Tamandua tetradactyla: one gene and its partner. The protein of the gene in region 2 binds, or shares a complex with, the protein of the main gene of each other region. Links are inferred from orthologs where the notes say so. Each region holds a gene or a part of one and is shown on either strand. Other genes may lie near its edges.

The links. Proteins that work in one complex are often made in the same cells at the same time.
Region 1: the proteins of PRKAA1 (region 2) and PRKAB2 are in contact, whole or in part, in a crystal structure (PDB 4RER), measured with the Homo sapiens proteins. The link is inferred for Tamandua tetradactyla from reciprocal best matches to the Homo sapiens genes PRKAA1 and PRKAB2. Residues at the interface, in NP_006242.5 of Homo sapiens: Gly20, Val22, Lys40, Lys42, Asn59, Arg60, Gln61, Lys62, Val69, Arg73, Val93, Ile94, Ser95, Thr96, Pro97, Ser98, Asp99, Ile100, Met145, Met175, Ser176, Asp177, Gly178, Glu179, Phe180, Arg199, Leu200, Ala202, Pro204, Glu205; in NP_005390.1 of Homo sapiens: Val80, Arg82, Ser84, Ser108, His109, Asp111, Ile115, Ser138, Asp159, Phe160, Glu161, Val162, Ala165, Leu166, Ser182, Ser184, Gly190, Gln191, Glu192, Met193, Tyr194, Ala195, Phe196, Glu199, Arg201, Lys203, Ser204, Pro205, Pro206, Ile207.

What each region holds. Positions count from the first base shown.
Region 1 is NC_135330.1:96,016-104,129, reverse strand, and holds the start of PRKAB2 (5'-AMP-activated protein kinase subunit beta-2), read left to right. Parts: upstream 1-5,074; 5' UTR 5,075-5,252; coding exon 5,253-5,408; intron 5,409-8,114. UniProt on the Homo sapiens protein: Non-catalytic subunit of AMP-activated protein kinase (AMPK), an energy sensor protein kinase that plays a key role in regulating cellular energy metabolism.
Region 2 is NC_135335.1:90,938,868-90,946,514, forward strand, and holds the start of PRKAA1 (5'-AMP-activated protein kinase catalytic subunit alpha-1), read right to left. Parts: upstream 3,139-7,647; 5' UTR 3,107-3,138; coding exon 2,980-3,106; intron 1-2,979. UniProt on the Homo sapiens protein: Catalytic subunit of AMP-activated protein kinase (AMPK), an energy sensor protein kinase that plays a key role in regulating cellular energy metabolism.

The DNA.
Region 1 (8,114 bases), on a different chromosome or scaffold from region 2:
CAGACAAAATAGGACCCAGCACATGCAGTGGTGTACCTGGTCAGTGCATGGATACAGAATATCTGCATTACCTCAGATGGGCTGTGATAAGTAGCAGTTGTGTAGGCAGATTATCCCAGAATGGATAATTCCAGCAGCAGTGGTAGCTCCATCTGGAGGTACAGTGGTGCTGAGGGGGAAATAAGCAGGGTGGTGTGGTGGTGGTTTGAAATTGCATGTACCCTAGAAAACCATGTTCTTAAATCTAATCCATTTGTGGGTGTGAACACTTTGTAAATAGTACCTTTTGAGGAGAGTACTTCAAATAAAGTATGTCCCACCTCAGTTGGGAAGGGTTTTAATACTACTACTGGAGTCCTTTATAAGAGAATGAAATTCAGACGGAAAGAAAGCCAGAGGAAGCAAGAAACTGAAACAGAACCCGAAAGAGAAGGAAGCGACCAGGAGATGCTACTGTGTGCCCTGCCATGTGACCGAGGAACCAGGGATCACCAGTAGCTGCCCCAGAGTGCCAGTTTTACAGAAGAGAGCTTCGTCTTGATGATGCTTTGATTTGGAAATTTCCCTGGCCTCAAAACTGTGAACGAATAACTTCCTATTGTTTATTCCGACTCTTTTTCATGGTAATTGCTTAAGCAGCCTAGAAAAATAAAACAGGTGGTTTTAGGGTACAGCAGAGATGGGGTGCATAAACAGAAGTGGCAGCAGTGCCTAGTGGAAGTGGGGAAGGCTGGGAGACTTTTTTTTGTAAATACATGAGGTTGCTCTAGGAAATTCTCATTGGTAACCCAAGGAGGCTCTATAGGTCACTAGGATCCTGCAGCTGATGACAAAGCAGTGAAACTGAGTTTCTACTGTCACTGTGATCCCACTCTAAACCCCAGACAGGTGTGCCCTGGAGAAATATGATTTCATTCAGGGTGATGTCCTTGAGTCATTAAGGAAAGATACAGCTATGTTCACTGCATGTGTTAAAGAAGACAGAAAATTTACTTTATGTTAACAATTTCAATATTTTTTAAAGTTGAGACAAAAACATAACCCTATGTGTGGTAGATCATGTAGATGGCTGCAATAATAACTCTCGTACCACATGCTCTTTTATGAGTGAGCTCACCACTGTCTAATCAAGAGGTGAAGTCTATTTCCCCTCTCTTTGAGTTTGTGCTGGCCCTGCTACTACTTTAGCCAACAGAATGCGGTGGGATGGATATCCTGGGTCTTCTAAGCTTTTAGCACTCCGAGGTAAGGCAACCACCATGTCAGAAGTCAGACTAACCTGAGACTGCCATGCTATGAGATAAACCAAGCTAGACTCATGGAGAAACAATAAAGAGAAAGAGATGCCCAGTCAGCCCCTTGCTGTTCCAGCCATCTCATCTGAGGCACCTGACATACGACAAAAGAAATCATCTAGGACATTTGAGCCTCAAAATATACCACATGAAGCAGAGATGAACCATCCCCACTGATTGTTATATAACTGTGAACAAATAAATGATTATTGCTATTCTAAGTTAGGTTTGGGGAGCTATGGAATAGAAAACTGAAACTCTGCTTCAAGGAAAACCCATATGCTTTAGTTTGTAAACTGCTGGAATGCAATATACCATAAACAGAATGGTTTTTAAAATTAGTGGGGAAAATTCTGGACCTGTAAATTGGGTCCCTCCTCCTTTCATTGGGCAGTGCATGGCCTTCACTACCACTTCTTAGTTTGTATAAAAATATAAATTCAATGGTTCATTTTTAAAAATAATCAGTTTATGCAATGGTCAAGCAATCTTTGTATAGAAACTTGTATCTTTCCTCTTGCTAGAACTAATTTTGATAATTATATTAGGTTGGACAGATTGTTTTCATTATTTTATTGAGGTATGATTTTCATACAGTACAGTTTTGACAAACACATATATCACTGCAATCAAGATACTAGAACTGTTCCATAACACACCCAGCCCCCCCAAATTCCTCATTGTGCTTTATAACCAACCACACCCCCACCCACAACTTCCAGTCACCACTAATCTGTTTTCTGAACCATAGTTTCGCTTTTTACGAATGTCATACAAATGGAATCTTACTTCTTTTGTTAGTCTAATGCATTTGAGATTGATCGATTGTGTTACCGGTATCATTTTATTCCTTTTTATTGCGGAATAGTGTTCCATCGTATGGCTAGAACACATTTTATTTATCAGTTCATTACGGGAGGGAGTTTGTTTTTGAATAAAAACAGGTAAGTCATAGTACACATAAACATTTGTGCACAGGTTTTTACGTGAACCTGTTTTTATTTCACACAAATAAATACCTAAGAGTGGAATTACTAGGCTGAATAATAAGTGTATGTTTAATTTGTAACGTTTATACAAAAGAGCCGATTGCTTTTTGAAATGAGAACCACCAAGACCAGAGGTCACATCCATTCTTGATCACAAATGAGGGGTGACCCCTGGTGAGCAGAGATGGGATGAGAAAATCAGGCCCTCAAACCAGTCTAACTTTTCATCTAGTTCTGTAAAATCAATACACTCTTCCTCCAGCCTCACATCCTCACATCTCAGAAGAAGCAGGACAACTTTAGTACCTTTACTGTGCTGTGAGGCCCTCCCATGATTTATTTTTCTCAATCTGTGAGGTAGAATGGCTCATCAGAGATCTGGCAATGCCTTTCTAGATATAGCAGTAGCATGGGGACCCTCACCAATTACTTTGCCTATTAACTATTTCTTTTCCTTCCATCCTGAAAGAAAATGGAGCATTTGAGATAACAGCAATAAAACTACTGCCATGGTTTAGGGGTGCTTCTTTACCTGGTCATCCCTGAGTCTAATCAAAAATAATAATCGGGGGCTAGGGAGAAGTACCTAGCCCTTCCTACAGTGTCACACTGCTTTCGTTTTGTGTCTAAACCATGCACTATGCAAAGAGGACTTTTATTTTTAACTGTTGATTGATTTATAAATGCTATTAGTGCAGAACAATGTCACGGATAATCCCCCCAAAATAATAATAATAGAAAACAGTTCCATTTGGTTTTGAAATACGGTAAATTGTAAACAGTTTATTTCTCTTCTTAAGTTTTCCATAGATTAATATAATACTAGGTTTGCTTTTCCTAAACTCATGGGACGATGGCATGGATATACATATTAGGGACACATTTAGCATGGAGAAACTAGAGTCTGAAAACTAATTCATACACAAGTCAAGATTTAATGTATTATTCCTTCAAGGGACTTGAAGGAAAGCCTGAAAGGAACTAGGGGGATGATGAGCGTTAATCAAACAGAAGTACTTATCAAGATTTAGAAGGAAGCTGTAGCAAAAAGGGTATTTTCTTCCTGCAAACTGCCTTTGGTCAAGAGTCAAAGGAAGTCTGACTGGAGAAGGGGCATACCACAGAAGAATAGGGGAGAAGTGGATTCGTTGAAGTAAAGTGAATTTCCAACTTCATATAAAAATGTATTTTTCCACCAATAGAGCTGCTTACTCAGAAAATGCAGCCTTGCTGTGGCTCGGTGGTCCCCATCATCGGCTGGGTTTAAGTAAGACATATAGTGATCATTTGCACACTTTCTTGCGCAAATCTTTATTAAAAGCTTACTCTGCACATGATTCCGTATGGATCATGAACAGGAATCAGAACTGAGCCTGTTCTGCCGGTTTTGATATTTTTAATGTGCCTACACATACCAGGGAGATGTTAGAATGCAGACTCTGAATCTGTAGGTCTGGGATGGGGCCTGATTCTGTATTTTAATCCGATTCCAGGCGACACTAATGATGTCTGTGGATCACCAGTGAGCGGCAAAGGGTTCTAGTAGGAAATGAGACATGCATATAATTATAATTACAATACAAAGCAGTAATTAGTCACCAGCACAGAAGCTCCATTAATTATCAACAAAAAGCTAAGACGGTCTTTGCCCTTCTATGCAACCACTGTTTCTTCTGTTTTCATTAATGCTGTTTCTTCACTACTGTTCCTTCTGAGGCTGCTGTTGCACTCGCCTTAGCCTACAACAGCCTTCCCCCTCCTCTCCTTGGACTAGCATTTTACTTGTTTTTCAAGGTCTACTCCCCTACCACTCCTTGAAGCCTTCCCCGGGGCCGCAGTCGGTTAACTGCCCTTTCCACTTGTCGCTCCAGACACCACCCAGCGTAAACCTGGGGCCGTAACAACGCTTCCTTCTGCCGGGACGCGGAGGCCCGCTTTCTCATTCCCCGCCCGAACCCGACTTCCCAGCGGTCGCTCATCAGCAAGACACCGCCCAGAAAACGCTCCGGAGACCGGCAGCAGGCAGGCCCGACGCTCGCGGCATGGCGGGCGTCCCTCAGCGCCGCCGTCTCCTCGGCGCCCCCGGGCCCTGCCCCCACCGGCGGGCGGCTCTGCCGAGCGGCCCATCATCCAGCGGCGGCGGCTAGAGAGGCAGCGGGACCCGGCGCCGCGAGAGGCGGCCTCGGGGAAGGGCGAGGCGGGTCCTGCACGGCGGGCCTCGCAGCCACTTCAGGAGGAAACCCGGGTCCTCGCCCTGGGCGGTCTCATCTGCACAGCAGCCATCGCACCAGCGGCCCTGGAGGAGGGAGAGCATCGCGGAAGGTGATGGCGAGCGGGGGCGCCCGGGGGCAGGGAGCACGGGCTGGCGGGGGCGCCCGAAGGCGGCTCCGGAGGAGGAGGGGCCTGTGAGGGGTCGGGACGCCCGAAGGCGGCTCCGGAGGAGGAGGGGCCTGTGAGGGGTCGGGACGCCCCAAGGCGGCTCCCGAGGGGGAGGGGTGAGGGGAGGGGGAGGAGGAGGAGGGGCCTGTGAGGGGTCGGGACGCCCGAAGGCGGCTCCCGAGGGGGAGGGGGGAGGGGAGGGGGAGGAGGAGGAGGGGCCTGTGAGGGGTCAGGACGCCCCAAGGCGGCTCCCGAGGGGGAGGGGCCTGTGAGGGGTCGGGACGCCCCAAGGCGGCTCCCGAGGAGGAGGAGGGGGAGGAGGAGGGGCCTGTGAGGGGTCGGGACGCCCCAAGGCGGCTCCCGAGGGGGAGGGGGGAGGGGGAGGAGGAGCCTGTGAGGGGTCGCGGCGCCCGAAGGCGGCTCCCGAGGAGGAGGAGGAGGAGCCTGTGAGGGGTCGGCGGTTTCCGGCGCCTGTGGAAGCGCGTCCTGGCCCGGCCTCGGCCGGCCTTCCTCTGCGGGGTTCCCCTCGGGCTCTCGGCGCAGGCCCGGCCGAGCCGTCTCCATCCTAGGTGGGCCCCGCGCGGCGGCCATGGGAAACACCGCCAGCGAGCGGCTGTCCGGGGAGCGCCACGGCGCCAAGGCTGCTCGCGGCGAGGGCGCGGGCGGCCAGGCCCCGGGCAAGGAGCACCGGATCCTGGTGGGGAGCACGGACGACCCCAACGTCTTCAGCCTGCCCGACCCCAAGGTGAGCGCCCCGGCCTGCGCCGCTGCGGTGCGCCTGGTTTCGGGGCGCCTCTTCCTTCTCACTGGTCTGGGTTGAGGGTTTTTTTAATTAGACAGATTTTCTGGCTGGCCTCTAGCGAGGCAGCCTCAAAAATAGCATAAAGAGGTGGAGTTATTTTCCTGGTTTTCTGACCAATCTGTGGCCGCCTTTTAGGACGGGACTAACAGACCCCCCAGACCCCTCGTTCTTCTGGCGGGCCTGGGGGCTCTTCTGGAGGACTGCTGAGCTGGACATGGTTGCGGAGCTGCTGCGCACAGGCGGCAGTTCTCTGCCCCCGAGCTGGGGAATGGAGCTCAGCGCCTCTCCCTCCGCCGCTCTGGCCGGGCTCTCAGCCGGAACCGTGCTCGTGGAACCTTTATCCTGTTGGAGACCAGTGAAGGCCGGCCACACTGGTGACTGTCCACTCTCCACCCTGCGCCTTCGAGTGGGGTGCCGAGGCAGTGCTGCTGCCGCGTCCAGGCCCGCGTGTTCGCGCGTCTCGGCTTCCCCGCAGTACCTCGGCGTGGCCACGGCTCAAAGAGACCCACAGCTTCCCTGGAAGGTGGTGACTGCCCCGTGCTTGTTACCATCCTGATGCCTCCGTCCGTTTTGGAGTGGTTAGCATTGACTGTCGGTCCTGCACCCCGCTGGCCGCCTCGGGGGGGGGGGGGGGGGATGGTGACACGGGAGGGGGGGAGGTGGCGGGTGTTCGGTGACTCGTCCTGCCCGCCCGCTGCCCCCGAGCCGGGCTGCCGAGAGTGGAGGCCGTGTCTCCAGCCACACTGGTGGCCTCTGAAATTGGGAGTCCGTGGTGCTGGTATTTTCTTGGATCCTGATTAAGAAAATAATCACAGAGAGAAACGCATTTCTGGGGGGTTCTTTACCCCTCCTTTTCTCCCTGCCCCACATCAGGACTACTAAATCCTTTAGGCTGTCTACACAGCCATTAGATTATACTCAAGGTGACGGGCCTCATTGTATTTTTAACCTTTTCTTACGCTGAAGACTCGGGATTTAAGTTTTTTTTAAAACTATGTGGCCTTAATTAAAGCCACGCTTGCTGTCTTTGAATTAGGGTCAGTTTTGGATCTTTCTTTCTCTCACCGCAAACTTGCTATTTGTGAAGTAATGGAATTATTTTAAGTAATTCCTAAGGTCTCTTCCAAATAAAATTCTGAAATTCTGAATCTGTCTTCTTCATTTCTTGCCTCAACGTTTTTTTTACTTAAACGCTTTCAAACTCGAGACTAGTTGTTTTGCTTCTGGGAAGTTTTGCTGACTAACTTGGGAGTAAACAGTCTTTCTGTTGTCGGCTGTCCTCGTGCCTCCCTCAGAGATGCCGTGTCTTACGGGAAAGGGCCTTTCTCCAAAGCTAGGCATATTAATAGTTTATGCCTTCATATTTTAAATGTAAAATCCAAAGGCATAAAAGTAACTGATAGAAAGGGTGATAGTGAGAGTCACTAAGGCATTGTCAGCCTTCCTTAGTTCGGTAGTTCCTAATTCTCTTTGTACCTTTACATAAGCCAATACCTTATATAATTGGAAGTTTTCTTCAGTTCTCTCTCCATTTACTTTGGATTGTGTTTCAGAGTGTAATTTTGAGGAATATCAAGAGACAGTAGAGAAGGTAAGCTACTGCAACCATTTTGGAAGGAAAGCCCAAATGAATAAGTCATCCTTTTTTTGTTTTGTGTTCCAGTAAAGTTTTATTTGTGGACACAAATGGATTCCATATCATCCTTTATTTTTAACTAACATTATTTTTTGTGGTAATTTTTTTTCCTTTTCTATGAAAAGTAATATATATACAAAAAAGCAATAAATTTCAAAGCACAGCACTATAATTAGTTGTGGAACACAGTTCAGAGTTTGATATGGTTACAGTTCCACAATTTTAGGTTTTTACTTCTAGCTGCCCTGAGATACTGGAGACTAAAAGAAACATGAATTTAATGATTCAGCACTCATACTCATTTGTTGGACCTACCTTCACTGTATAACTCCACCATCACATTTGATCTCTCTCCTACTCTTTAAGGGTATTTGGGTTATGCTCATTCTAACTTTTTCATGTTGGAAAGGTCTGCCACTAATATGGGATAGGGAGATGAAACTATCTGATGTTCTGGAGAGGCTGGGCCCTCTAGGTTTCAGGACTTATCTGGTCCAGGGACCCATCTGAAGGTTGTAGGTTTCTGGAAAGTTGCTCTAGTGCATGGAACCCTTGTAGAATCTTACATACTGCCCTAGGTGTTCTTTAGGATCAGCAAGAATGTTTTGGTTGGGGGTTGGCAAGTTATGATAGGTAGTAATGCCTGACTGAAGCTTGCCAAGAGTGACCTCCAGACTAACCTCTAAACTCTATTTGAACTCTCTCAGCCACTGATACTTCATTACACTTCTTTTCCCCCTTTGGTCAGGATGGCATTGTCGATCCGACAGTGTCATGGCCAGACTCATCCCTGGGAGTCATCTCCCATGCCTCCAGGGAGACGTTCACCTCTGGAAATCATGTCCCACGTATTTACCTATTTACTAAAGCTATTTAATCCAGTCTAAAGAGGGGATTGGCAAATTTTTTCTGTAAAAGTCCAGATAATATTTCAGACTTTGCAGCCATATAGTCGCTGTATAACTACTCAGTTCTGTGGTTGTAATGCAAAAGCCCTTGTAGAAAATATCTAA
Region 2 (7,647 bases):
TCCAACTTTCAACTTCGCCATCCTCTGGGTATGGTCTTTACTCATGGCCTGAGATGGAATTACAGCTATGACATATATTCTAGGCAGCAAGTTAGGGCCAAGTGGTAAGAAGGGAACATGTCTCATATTTTATTTTGTTTTGCTTTGTTTCTGCCTATAACAGAAAAAAAAAAAATCTATAGATTTCTTCTCCCAAAAATACTTCCTGTAAACACAGATCATATTGAGAATTTTTTTGCTTTTCAATAACATATCTATTAGATTTCTTTTTAATGTTAAATTTATCAATGTTTATAATTAACTCTAAAAGCTCTATCTATATCAAAGAAGACAGAGGCATTATAACACAAAAGACAATTCAATGAGTATGACTGCTACATTATATGACTGCTACATTATATTGGTATTTCTTTTAGCCTCCAGTGTCTTGGAGTAACTAGAAGGAAAAATCTGAAATTGTGGAACTGTAACCCATATCAAACTTGGAAATCTCTTCCATAACTACTGGTTAAAATGTACTTTGAAATTTACTGCTTTTCTGTATATATATTTCACACCAAAGAAAGTTTAAAAGAAAATTTTAAAAGCTCTATCTATTCCAAAGTGTCTCAATTGAAATAAATTACTAAACCTATCATTCAGAAGAATTCTTGTCAAACTAAGGCTGGTATAAATTACTAATGTCACCACTATGATCACTACTTTTGCCCACTCACCCAGCACCCATGTTCCCCTTTCTCTATCCTAGCAATATATATGGTATCTGCCTCTCCACCCCGCCCCATACACACATTATCCAAGTACTTCAGAAGATGTCCTCACACACACATCCCAGAGTGAACCCTATTCCTACAAGAGTAATGCCATTCCCCTTGCTAATTCCTACTTAGGAACACAAGCCTAAGCCAGTCAGCACTTGGTATCCCTAGCTAAAGGGACTGGATAAGCCAGTGAGACTCACTCAAGAAATAATAGACTTTGTTGCTCTGAAAAGATATTCTTGGCTACTCTGAGGTGCATTTTCTCTTACTCATGACAAAAAACATCCTAACTATTTAACAACATAAAAATGCACTGGTTGAGGATTTTGAACATCAACTAACGTATTATGAACAAACATACCTTTATTCACAAACCTCTGATCTTATGACCAATATTGGTCTATCTATATTTGGTGAAGTTATTGACTTGATAGAGTATGTACTTCAAGAGGGAGAAGGAGAAGTAAAGGCTAAGGGACAGCAGAATAAAAGAATCCATGTCACAACCACATCACAGATCAAATTCAGAAAATGAAAAATCTCTTCTTGCCTTCCTACCTGCCATGCCAAAAGCCACTTAGCAAATAAGAAAATGAGACCTGATCAAATTCAGGTCTAAATTAGGGGAATGAAGAACACCCTAATCCAAACAGAACTCCGGGTTCCGGCATCTTTGTGGGACATTAATGAGAATTTCTTACAAGTACTAGTAAACTAAAGAGCAGTCAGTAATTGCTAAAATTAAGGAGATGGGGCCAAAATAATAACTTTGAGGCCTCAGAAACATTACTAGTCTAATAGAGACCCACTCTAATGAATGTTATTACTCTATTCTGGCATTTGCTTCTTACTTCCTTACATTGTTGGCCCTGCTGATTTTCACAAGCAGTTGTAGGCAGCTGCTTCCCTGTACACTTCACAGCAAATTTCTGGTTCTATAACTGAGAAAGGGCAAGAGAAGGAAGGGTTTTCCTCTTCCAACTCTAGATAAAATCAGAAAATGTTTATTTAGCTCCAGGAGAGTAAGACTGTTACTTAATTCACTGTACAGACATTCAACCACTTTTTTCTTTCAAGTCAAATATTTGCCAGGTGCTTAGTAAATATATGCAAGTCATAGTCTATCCAAAACCAATGCATAAATTTTTTTTCTCTTTCTCATAAATTCTTTTTATAAGTTTCATACTTATTTGATCTACATCTCTAATAACCAAAGTCACAATTTTGAAGAAAAAAAGCATTAATGCCCCATACATTTTGCAATTATATTTGTGCCAGAATTAGTGAACTGGAGAGCACGTTCGTTATTTCCATAATACTGTGTTGAAACAAAAGCGCTAAGAAACTACCACTTAAAAAAAGTTCAATGATGTACATTAAATTGTTTATTAAAATAGAAGTAACATTCTGTGAAAATAAATGGAAATGAACTATACAAACGAACCAATAACTACTGTCTGGAGGAAACATCTGCACCAACAAGCAGGTTCAGCACACAGAATGAGAAAATCCTGATAATTCAGAAACACTGATGCGCGGTGTCCGCACTCAGAACGTAAACCATACACTGCAAATATAGAACTTCATTAACTGCTCCAAAGGAAATCAAGGATCCTCCTCGACGAGATGGATGGTTTTTTGTTTTGTTTTTGTAATTCTGTAGGCTACCTCCCAAAAGCAACCTCACTCTTCGGGGAACACATTTCACAGTCGGCAATCTGCAGAAGCAGATAAGTCCACAGCCTGAAGAAGACGGAAACAGGGACAATGCCCAGGACTGCCGGGGAAGCGATGGGCTGGCCGTGATCCAGAGGAGCACAGCGCGGGACGAACAGGAGGCCACCTCCGTGGGGCTCCTGGCGAGGCACCCCGGCGCCGTCCCCACCCCTCACCCCCAGCACTGGGAGCGCGCCTCGCAACTCCCCGACTCCACACCTGGGAAAGTTCGCACCTCCGCAACCCGACCCCTGGCACCGACGAGCCCCCTCTGGCCGCGGCGCCATCGCCATGGAGCTCGGTCCCCACCCCACCCCGGCCTTGGGGGGCCGCGTCGCAGTCCCGCGGCAGTCTCGGGCCCCGCTCTGGCCGGAGCCTGGACAGGGGCTGTCCAGCGAGGGAGACGAGGAGCGCAGGGGGACCGGGAAAGAAGAGGAGGTGGGAACAGCGGAAGTCGGCGGGATCCCGAGCAGGGGCCAAAACTTGCCCCGGGGGTCCTCACCCTTCACTTTGCCGAAGGTGCCGACGCCTAGCGTGTCCCCCAGGATGTAGTGGCCGATCTTCACCCGTCCGTCGTGTTTCTGCTTCTCGGCTGCCGCCATCTTTCTCCAGGAACTGAGTCTGCGCATGGCGCTACGGGAGGGGGCGGAGGGGGCGGGCAGGGCCGTGCCGCGCCGGGGGTGGGCGGGGAGGCGCGAGGGGAGCCGCAGACCTGAACAAACCACCACCCGCTTGGTCCACGCAGTGGCTGTTGTGTACAGACGCGCCCCCTGGCGGGACGAACGGAGGTCGCTGGACGGGGTCACCGTCAGTACCCCTTACCTCGCCCAGCATCGTTATGGCCCCGGGCGCCTGCCCATCTGCTCGCGGGAGGGGGCTGCGCGCGAGAGAAAGGCGGTGGCCCCTCCGCTCCTTTCCCCCCGGGTGGAGTCTCTTCCTGCTGTGGTCACTCCAGGCTCCCGGGGGACTGCTCCCAGTGTGATTCCAAAAGCGGAGCTGTGCACCGGGAATCTCGCTTGAATGATGCAGATGCGTGGTTTATTACTACTGTAGCTTGGATTGAACACGACTTTGCCACTGTATTTCTAAACTTTATTTTTATCTTTTCCTCTGGGATGCGTTATGGAAGCCGTAGGGAGTTTTCACTTGCACCGTCTTGTGGTTTCTCCCCACTGCTCTTTTGTACTTTTATTTGCGGAAGTTGTTGTTGGGCAACTCAAGTAGACTTTGTCGAAGTAAGCTCTGCTGCTGGGAGCAGGTTGAGGATGTATGTAAGTAGTGGGGGAAGGGTTGTTACCCAGCCCTTTTGGAATATGAGAATTCACATTTTTAAATTATCAGCAAAATGTAAATTTCATTGGCCTGAAAACAAGGCTTACAGTTACATCGGCCAGATCAATCGACAAATGTTTGTTACACTTGCAATAAACGAGACCGTCTGTTGTCTATACGAATGAAATCATGCCATTTCATAGGGAAAAGAAGGAGAGTATGTCTATTTGTATCGAAATTTAAGTGAGTTTCTTACTCGATGCTACTCTAACGGAGCAAAATCAAGTATCTCATCAAAAAAACAGTTAAGTGCTCTCATATTTGCAGTGTCATAGCACCTAGGCCTGTTATCAGTAGGCAAAAAGTTGTGCTATTCATGAAAATAGTATTTAAATAAAAAGACAAAATATCATTTTTCTTTGCAACAAAAATCAGCTACCCAGCTCTCCTGGTTTACATATATTTTTCTATTTATGAAAGCAAAGGAATGTGCATTAAACACTGCTTTGTACAAAGCAGAATACTTGCAGAGGAAGCAATCATTCCTACCTTGAGCTTAGAAGTACACAAAATAGAGAACAGTTCCAAGTAGACTTGCTCAGATAACCAAGTCTCTGTTGTACTATGGACTGCACATATACTGAAGGCCCAAAAGTTCAGAAATTGTTGATTATTGAGATATTTGGGGAGTGGGCAGGGGTTACTGTTGTAACTTTCGTTCTCTAGCTTCTTTGGCTTACCCTGTTTGCCTTTTGAGTTTCTACAACTCAGGTATTTGGGATCTCTTCAAATTGCTCTCTGGATTCTGTTAACTATCAGTTTGTTTCTGCTCTGATGTTATTTCAGGTTGCAAATCTATTTAATAATATTCATTAAATGCCACTATTCAGTGAAAGGGGGAAACAAAACCTAGAATCATGGAAAATAGGATTGGGCAGGAACTTAAAGGTTATCTTCTCCACTCTCCTGTAATGCCTGGTTAAGCGGCTTTAGTTGCTGATTTGTTTGTTTGTTTTCTTATGTTGAGTTAAAAACCTGATTCCAATAAACATCTACCAGTTCCCAAGAAGGTAAATAATAAGCCTCCTTTCCTTATTCCTTTGCTTTTTCTATTTCCTTCATTCTTTCGTGTGTGGTAAAACAACCCACACATCTGCCTTACCTGAGCAGGATTCCCTGTACCCCCCAAAAATGTCCAACTATTTCCAGCCTTCCTCCTTTCCAACCTCCTATTGATCTGTTCCCAAATATTCATCCCCTCTTTTCTTGAAGTTTGATAACTGCCAGACACAGGAGAAAGAAACAAAATGAAAAGTCATGGTCTCTGCCCTGGAGGAGCTCATGGTCTAAGATAGCAGTTCTCCCTATTTTCCCCCCACCCAAGATAGATAATGTTCACTTGCCGGACATTCTTCTAGGGTGGAAGAATAGATAAGGTAGACTGTGGTTTATACCCGGTTTCCTGACCCATCAGTTGTAAATCTGCCCCTTTTCTCGACAAAGTATATTGGAATGTAACTGAGCAGGAGGAAAATTATGGAGGTAACCTTGAATCCATTGTACCTTAACTGAAGTGAGGGTGGGGATAAATTGTTTGCAAACTTCAGTATTTCAACTTTTATTAGTTCAAAGAAGACACATTGTGTCTTAGCATTGATAAAAACATACCCAGCTGATCCAATACCTTGGTGTAGAACTTCCTTTGAGGAAGAGCTGAGTAATTGGTTGTCATCTGCTTCCTCTCTAGCCCTCCAGAGCTTAAGGCTGGTATGTCTAGTCTTAGTCTTTTCTTCTTAAGGTCATCATAGCTTGCTAGACCCTACACTATCCAGGTGAACATTCCAGTGGACTAAAAGAAACAGAGTATGGACAAACTGAAAAAAGAATGACTTCAGTGGTAGAGTCATGGAAGTAGAGGTGTAGGCCTAATGGATGGGTCTGTCCTTATGCTTGGAGGTGGCAGGCCTTCTGCCCATGTGCTTGGAAGTGTTGAGTTTTACACCCCAGCACATGGGGAGAGTTCAGCTGTACCCCAATACTTAAAGCGAGTGCGGTCTACAACCCCAGTTTGGGGGCAGATATTTGATTGGGGAGAAACTAGGTCTCAGCACAGAGACCTAGTGCAGATGGCCACTGCACAATCACTTGGAAAGAGTGGGCTGCCATTTCAGTACACCCACATCTATCCACAGATAACCCTCAAAGCTTGAAATTCGCCATAATTCACCCTGATGGATTTTGGACTTGCCTGGGACCTCTGGCCTTTCCTTTCCTTCCAATATCTCCCTTCTAGAATTGGACTATTCCATGCCTCTGCTCTCATCGTGTTTTGGAAACAGATAACTTGTTTGCTAGATTTCACAGAGAGGAATTTTGCCCCAGGACAGTTCACATCCATGTCTAATTTTTTTTTTCTTTGTATGCTAGTGTGGCGGGGGTTACATGTCATTCTTTTTCCATGTGAGTATCCCTTTATTGCAGCACCATTTGTTGAATTTTTGTTTGTTTGTTTTTGTTTGGCTTTTCTGTTTGTTTGTTTTGCTTGTTTGGAAAGTATGTGGGCTGGGAATCGAACCCTGGTCTCCCGCATGGCAGGCAAGAATTCCACAGCTGAACTACCCTCTCACCCCCATCCATGTCTAATTTTGACGAGACTTTAAACTTAGAATTATTACTGAAATGGCTTAAGATTTTTGAGGTATCTTGATGCAATGAAGGTATTCTTCATGTGGGAAGAATATGTGTTTTGGGGGTCCAGAGGGTGGATGGGATAGACTGAGTTTTATACCCCAAAGAAAACATGTTCTTAATCTTAATCCACATCTCTGTAGGTATGAATCCATGGTAAATAGGTCTTGTTAAAGATGTTGCTTTTCTTTGAGTGTGTGGCCCAATTGAATGAGGGCAGGCCTTTGATCAGATTGCTGGAAGCCTTAATGAGAAACTGAAAGTCAGGAGAAACCTGGAAGATAAAGAAGAGGACATCATAATGTTATAGGGAAGCCAAGGAACCCTAAGGTTGCTGGCAGTCAGCCCCAGAACCTATACAATCCTTGGAGAAAAAGGAAGCTTTGCTCATATCTACATTGTGGACTTTTCCTAGCCTCAAAAATGTGAGGCAATAAATTCCCATTGTTTAAGCCAACTCATTGTGTGGTATTTGCCATTTTAAGCATGGCAAACTAAAACATAATCCTGAAAGATCATAATGAAGAGAGGGCTAAACCTTTAACTTTAGAGGTCTTCAAAGTCTTTAGCTTGAATATCTTATGAGTGAATATTAAGAGATGAAGTTTTCTACTCAAAGAAAAAGTTGGCGTGGAGATTGGGGAAATTGGAGAAGGCATCCCAAGTAGGGAGAAAAGCATATGCAATTTCCCAGAACTAAGGAGCTTAAGACTATTTGGAGAAATTCAAGTGGTTACAAAAGAAGGTGTAGATGGATTTCTTAGAGAAAATAGTATGTAAATCTTGAGTCTTGAAAGTCCTGTTATGCTCTTATCAGTTTGCACATTATTTTGTAAACAGTGGTGAACCATGGGAAGATGTAAAGCACATGCATTTTAGAAATACATTTTTTCACCCAGGAAATTTGTAGCTATAGGTGCCTCTGGGAAGTGACCAAGAGTCAGGGGCAAAAGACAGATGCACTTTTCCCAATATACCCTTTTGTAACTTTTTTATTTTGGAATGTATGCACATATTACACAGTCAAAAAATTAACTGTTAGGAAAAAATAACCAAAACTCTGACTTTAGTGTGGAGGATAGATGGGAGAAGAGCAAGACCAAAGTGGGGGTAAAACAGTAGACTCAGCATCATCTAGCTAAGAAATGATGAGGCAGGCACCACGCATGAAGAGGAGAAACAGACTCAAGGCCTATTTAGAAGGTGGAAT